2 linked regions of the Oryctolagus cuniculus genome follow. The protein of the gene in region 2 purifies or fractionates together with the protein of the main gene of each other region. This does not show direct contact. Links are inferred from orthologs where the notes say so. Each region holds a gene or a part of one and is shown on either strand. Other genes may lie near its edges.

Region 1 (3,517 bases), on a different chromosome or scaffold from region 2:
GGGAGCAATTGTTTTATCTCTAAATATTTTAGTGCAGGAAAAAAATGTTTTCACAGGATAGTAACTTCAGCATGCCTTCATATTAGAAATTACAGTGACAATTCAGAAATTGATCTGACAGTTCTCTGTGGCATTAGTTCTCAAACTTTAGCATACTGTCAGAATCATATAGAGACTTTATTAAAACACGGACTCCTGTACCCACAGAGATTTTGCTCTGAGCACAAGCCCAAAAACCACATTGGGAATGAATCATTGTTCTAGGACTATTATAGGACTATCTTTTCTTCTGACATAGTTTTCTAAGTGTACAGAATAATTTGTCATTCACTGTTTTGGTCCACTGATACTGAGTCATACATGGAAATTCAACACATATTTTCTCTGTAAGAGTATTTCTATACTTTTTTTAAAGATTTTATTTATCTATTTTGCGAAGTAGAGTTACAGACAGAAAGAAGGAGAGACAGAAAGATCTTCTATCTGCTGGTTCACTCCCTAAATGGCCGCAGTGGCCAGAGCTGAGCCGATCCTGAAGCCAGGAGCTTCTTCTGGGTTTCCCATGCAGGAGCATGGGCCCAGGCACTTGGGCATCTTCTGCTGCCTTCCCAGGCCATAAGCAGAGAGCTGGATTAGAAAAGGAAAAGCTGGGACTTGAACTGGTACCTATATGGGATGCCAGCGCTGCAAGCAGAAGCTTAACCTATTACACCATAGTACTGGCCCCTATACTTTTTTAATTATATGAAATAACATTGAAAGAGAAGATAAAAGCAGCAGTTATCCACCCACAAAGTATTTTTGAAAACCGTAAGCCCTCCAAAATTTAGCTGGTATGAAGACATTTGATAAGAGAGCAGTTTATAAAGTCCCACATGTGAATAATATTTAAAAGAGTACTGTAACATCTTATGTTGCTTCTTTTGGTCCAAAGATCTATGGCTCCTAAGGCCTAGAGTATGAACTTGGTTATCACTGACTAGAAACTAAGTAATACATCTGGTTAAAATCCAGAACGCAGGAGTGGATGTTGCAGTGCAGCAGGTTAAGCTGCCACTTTGGAAACCTGCATCCTGTATCAGAGTGTCTGGGATCAAGTCCCGCTCCACATACAATGCATGCAGCTTCCTGCACGTGTGCATTCTGAGAGGCAGCAGGTGATGTCTCAAGTACTTGGGTCCCTGATACCCACTTGGGAGTCCCAGTTGGAATTCCAGGTTCCTGGCTTCAGCCTGGCCCAGCCAGCCATTAAGGCCATTTTGGGAGTGAACCAGTAGATGGAAGATCTCTCTTCCTTCTTACCCCCTCTGTAATTCTTCATATCAAATAAATAAATATTTATAAGAAATTTTTAAAGTATGGGAAGCCACATATTGGACCCAGTACTTTATGTTTTCTGAAAAACTTATTGTCACTATATTTTATTGAATTTATAAATTATTTCTACAGGTGATGGGCCCCGGTGTAGAGATTATGTCATAAGTCTTGGAGTTGTGAAACCTTTACTTTCGTTCATAAGTCCATCTATTCCTATAACATTCTTAAGAAATGTTACTTGGGTTATGGTCAACTTATGTCGCCACAAAGACCCACCACCACCAATGGAAACCATTCAAGAGGTAAAAATTTTTATTTTTAATTTTAGTTTTTTAAGTTGATGGGGTGGATGTTTGGCACAGTGGTTAAGACACGACTTGGGACATCTGCTTTCCATATCATAGTGCCTGGGTTTGAGTCCCAGTCCATTTCCAATTCCATCTGCCTTCTAATTTGCACCCTGGGAAAGCAGCAGATGGTGGCTCAAGTCCTTGGGTCTCTGATACCCACCCAGAGATCCAGATTAAGTTACAGGCTCCTGGCTTAGTCCTGGCCCAGCCCCAGCTGTTGCAGGCATTTAGAGAGTAAATCAATGTATGGAAGATCTCTCTCTATATATATATTTCAAATGAAATGAAAATAAGTAAATTTTTTAAAAGTAGGTATTAAAGAGGATACCATTATGTATGTTGTTATATATGTGTATTTTTCAATCTGTATAATTCTCTCTTTAGATTCTTCCAGCCCTTTGTGTTTTAATTCATCATACAGACGTAAATGTGAGTAAATGCTTTCTATCCTATGTTTATGTATATACATTTATGTCTTATTATGTGTGTGTGTATATATCTTATGTACATTTATGTTTAGGGCTGGAAATTGGGGAGAAAATGTTATTTGAAGACATGTCATTGTACTATCTGATTTTTGTACTTCAAGGGTTGAAATACAAATTTGGTATTTTTATATTTATGTTTACCTGTATCATAAAATATAATTTCAGTGAGGAAGTCAAGCCCAGTTATTATTTTAGTCTATGCAGTAATGTACATGTACATACATAAAGATGTATGTATGTACAAGTTGTCTTCAAAAACTTCAAGGAAGTTGTATATTATGAAGAAACTGGATGGATTTCAGGTTTTTTTTTTTTCTTCACTAAAATAAGCTTGTCTTTTAATTTGATGTCTCCACAGATTTTGAAGTGCTCTCATGTATATCAATGTTAGAAAAACTCATATAGAAAGTTTTTAAGTTTCTAGTCAGTAATCTCCCTTACTAAGATTATCTTTGTTCATGAATGTTTAATGGAAGCTTTTATTGATAACCTGGCCAATTATAATACAGATAACATGCACTTAGTGACATTTTTGTTTTTTGAAAAATGAGTAGAAATACTGTGCCTGTATGCATGAGTTTGTATTCCTATACATTTACCAAACCTATGAACATCAGTTGTTCTTCATATTTTTACTCCATTTCTCCCAGTTATAATGACTGGCGCCGGCACCTCGGGTTCTAGTCCCAGGTGAGGCGCCGGATTCTGTCCTAGTCGCTCCTCTTCCTGTCCAGCTCTCTGCTGTGGCCCAGGAGTGCAGTGGAGGATGGCCCAAGTGCTTGGGCCCTGCACCCGCATGGGAGACCAGGAGAAGCACCTGGCTCCTGACTTCGGATCAGCGCAGTGCTCTGGCCACAGCGGCCATTGAGGGGTGACCCAGTGGAAAAGGAAGACCTTTCTCTCTCTCTCTCTCTCTCTCTCTCTCACTGTCCATTCTGCATGTCAAAAAAAAAAAAATACTATTCTCAAACAAGGGAAGAAAACAGCACAAGCAAGATTTTAAACATAACAAATAAATGAGGTGGGAAACTGACCTGATTTTTTATAAAAGCCAGACTAGCCTTTGATTTGTTAGAAAAACTAGGGAATATAATAGGTAAGGGACTATCCATGTGTGAAATATAGATAGCAATAATCAGAAAGTAATGTGTTTCTTTAAAAAACGATTTGCTATGGTGATAGCAGTGTTTGATGAGCTATTTCATTTCTTTACAGTTTTAGGATTATACTTTTTTTTTGCCAGAATCCCCTAAAAGTATGTAGAACAAATTAAAATCAGAATTTTGCTACATCAAGTAGTGATATAATGTACAAAATTTATTAAACATGCTCTTTGCTCTAAAGATGTTTTTTAAGCGCCAG
Region 2 (3,517 bases):
TGGCTCCTACCGTCCGATTTCGACTGGCTGGCAGGAAGTGCTGCTCAAAGTCAGCAAAGCTAGTGATGGGCTTCTGCGTGAGGCCCGGAATCAGGATATTTCCCCGGCAGTCTTCTCGGATCACCAAGTCCCCGGATGCAGGGTCCAAGAGGTCCAATACCTGTCGAAGCACTGCGGGTTGGGGGCCCGGCTCTCCACACACAGGCCGCGCTCTGCCTGGGACGCAGGGCTGTCCCATCGGCTACCTAATGTTACCAACTTGCTGGAGTGCAGCTTGATGTTCTAGAACTGAGTCGTCTTGACCCTTCTGTCTCTCCCTCCCCAGCCAGAAGGGGGCCTCACCTTTTCCTGGTATATCTCTAAGTAGGACATGGTGACAGAGAGGGCCCATGGCCGGCCCTCGGCTCCCTCCTCCCTCGTGAGCTGCAGGAGGTCCATGAGAGCTCGGGGGATCACTCCAGGCTGCTCCGGGCTGCCCAGCATTGTGTGCGTCTTTCCTGGGGAAGAGTGGAGAAAGCTGTGAGGGCCGGCTCTGCATCTCCCCGCCCCTTGCTGACCTGTAGCGGCCGTGTCTGGCCCCTCACCTGCCCCAGTGGGCCCATAGGCGAGCACGCTGGCATTCTGCCCTTCCAGCAGGTGCCTCAGGATGGGCTGCACAGAGCCTGCATAGACGTCCTGCTGAGAGCTCCGGTCCCCATAGAAAGCATCAAACCTGGAGGCAGAGAGGAAGCAATCAGCAGGGGTTCCGGGCCCACCCTGACCTGGGGGACACTGGCCCCAGGTCTAACGGAGGGCCTCCATCGCTTGTGTTGCACAGTGACCCGAACGAGCAGCCCCGGAACACCTGCTCCGGCCCAGGCCCCGTTCTGGTGTTAGGGATACAGAGCTGCATCGGATGGCCCTGCTCTTGGGGGTTTTGTAGTCTGTGGGGACGGTAGATAACCTAGACTTTGCTGGGCCTCAGGAAACAAAGCTGAGAGCGCACTGGGAGGAGTAACCCATTCTGCTTGCAGAAGGAGGACTTCGCCACCAGAGACAAGAGAAAGAAATTCTAAGTAGTAAGAGCAGCACAGAGACAAGATGTGCTGTGAAAGGCCAGGGCTGGCCGATCTTTCTTCCCACCGCGGCATCTACAGAAGGCGGGATCTGCACAGCCTGGGGGAACACCTCTAGCCCACCCACGGCACTCTGTGGAGAAGCTGTGGCTCAGGGGTTTAGCATGTGGTGGGGGAGATGAGGCTGGGAAGAAACTGAAGGCCAACTGTCAAAGGCCTAGAACAAAGCTGGCAAACTTTTTCTGGAAAGAGCCAAACAGGAAATATCCTGAGGGAGTGGGAGAGGGGAGGGTTGCGGGTGGGAGGGAAGTTATGGGGGGGGGGGGCATTGTAATCCATATTCTGTACTTTGGAAATTTATATTCATTAAATAAAAGTTAAAAAAAAAAAAAAGGAAATATCCTGGGCTCCGCAGGCCACGTGGTTCCCTTCACAACTCCTCAGCCTTGCCACTGCGCCTGGAAAGCAGCCACGGACGCTGCGTAAATAAGTCATCAAACTATTTAGAGAGACTGCTGCTCAGATTTGACCCGCAGGCTGTGGTTCCCCAACCCCCAGCCTAGGATAACAGGCCGAGGAGTTTGATCTTTAAATCCCTCACAGGACTTTAAAGTAGCTGCCCTTGTGAGTTCTGTCCGCGGACCCCGGGGTCTCTGACCCCACCCAGCAGCAGCCTGGGCAGTCTACCTGCCCTGGGCTTCTACCCCCTTCCCACCTGTCGCTGTCCCACTTGCGGCTCCCCGCCCCTCCCATGCTGCCATCTCCCCCCCAGCGTCTGACGCGGCCCACACAGGACCCACGGCAGCAGGCCCGGGAACACCTGCGAGTGAACAAACGCGGTGCGCGGCCCACAGCTGGGGTGAGGAGGCAGGTCTGAGAAACCGTCTGGGCAGGTGGGCATGCGAGCCGGCCCACGAGAGGGAAGCGGAACGGCCGGAACCTTACTGGTATTTCAGAGTCTCCTGGTAGTTCCTCCAGTTGGCAACCTCGAGGGAGCAGCTGTCGATGCCCCGGACGCAAGGGGGCTCACTCGCTGCCGCTGCTCCATCCACGAAGGGACGCAGGCGCACAGCCACCCTTACGCGGGCTGGAGGTGGGCGGCGGCCAGCCCCAACCTTGCTCAGCCGACAGCGACCAGCTCCTGGAGGAGAGATGTAAGGTTTGTTTCTGTTGTTTTTATTTGACAGGTAGAGTTATAGATGGTGAGCGAGAGAGACAGAGAGAAAGGTCTTCCTTCTGTTGGTTTACTCCCCAAATGGCCGCTATGGACAGCGCCGCGCAGATCCGAAGCCAGGAGCCAGGTGCTTCCTCCTGGTCTCCCACGCGGGTACAGGGAGAGAGATGTAAGTTTTAGGCATGAAGTTTGATGGTCACAGCTCACTATAGGGAGAGTCCTTTCCACCCTGTTCCGCCATGGGCAGCCCCAGGTCCTCCATGGCCTACAGGGAGGTCCAGTGGGGTGGCCAGCAGGCTCCTCAGGCTGTAATGAATACACAAATAACTGGGACGATCCGGCTGAAGTGCGGATTTAGCTTCAGTCCCTGGGGCGGAGACCTGAGACAAGGCAGAGTTAGAGAGAGATAAAGATCTCCCATCAGCTGATTCACTCCCCAAATGGTTGCAATAGCTGGGGCCAAGCCAGGCCGAAGCCAGGCACCAGGAGCTTCTTCCAGGTCTCCCATGTGGGTGCGAGGCCCACGTCCTCAGGGCATCTTCTGCTGCTTTTCCAGGAAACTGGATTGGAAGTGGAGCAGCTGGGATGCCGGCATCGCAGGCAGCGGCTTAACCTGCTTATGCCACAACGCTGGCCCCGAGAGCTTGCATTGCTGCTTCTTCTTCTTCTTCTTCTTTTTTTTTTTTTTTTGACAGGCAGAGTGGACAGTGAGAGTGAGAGTGAGAGAGAGAGAGAGGTCTTCCTTTGCCGTTGGTTCACCCTCCAATGGCCACCGCAGCTGGTGCGCTGCGGCTGGCGCACCGCGCTGATCCGAAGGCAGGAGCCAGGTGCCTCTCCTGGTCTCCCATGGGGTGCAGTGCCCAAGTACTTGGGCCATCCTCCACTTCACTCCCTGGCCACAGCAGAGAGCTGGCCTGGAAGAGGGGCAACCGGGACAGAATCCGGCACCCCGACCGGGACTAGAAACCAGTGTGCCGGCACCGCTAGGCGGAGGATTAGCCTAGTGAGCCGCGGCGCCGGCCAAGCTTGCATTTCTAACAAGCTCCCGTGTGCAGCTGCTGGGCATGGTTTGAACCGCAAGGTGAGCAGAGCTGCTCTAAGGACTAAATGTGCTGATAGCCATCCCCACCTAAAACCAGACAATGACCTAATTCTCTGTGCTCTGTTTCTAACCTGGGTTTAAAATACACGGATGTACACACACACACGTGTACACACACACACACACACTCTGCCTATTAATGATCGTTTTCTCCTCATGGAGGATTACATGGGTGTATTTTGTTTT

What was found. Proteins that work in one complex are often made in the same cells at the same time.
Region 1: the proteins of KIF22 (region 2) and KPNA4 purify together in Homo sapiens (affinity purification with mass spectrometry; 3 studies listed by BioGRID and IntAct, counting the BioPlex papers as one, with this or other methods). This does not show direct contact. The link is inferred for Oryctolagus cuniculus from reciprocal best matches to the Homo sapiens genes KIF22 and KPNA4.

Annotation. Positions count from the first base shown.
Region 1 is NC_091435.1:120,222,281-120,225,797, forward strand, and holds part of KPNA4 (importin subunit alpha-3), read left to right. Parts: intron 1-1,449; coding exon 1,450-1,619; intron 1,620-2,051; coding exon 2,052-2,096; intron 2,097-3,517. UniProt on the Homo sapiens protein: Functions in nuclear protein import as an adapter protein for nuclear receptor KPNB1. Binds specifically and directly to substrates containing either a simple or bipartite NLS motif.
Region 2 is NC_091450.1:7,227,345-7,230,861, reverse strand, and holds part of KIF22 (kinesin-like protein KIF22), read right to left. Parts: intron 2,197-3,517; coding exon 2,001-2,196; intron 713-2,000; coding exon 585-712; intron 498-584; coding exon 343-497; intron 161-342; coding exon 1-160. UniProt on the Homo sapiens protein: Kinesin family member that is involved in spindle formation and the movements of chromosomes during mitosis and meiosis. Binds to microtubules and to DNA. Plays a role in congression of laterally attached chromosomes in NDC80-depleted cells.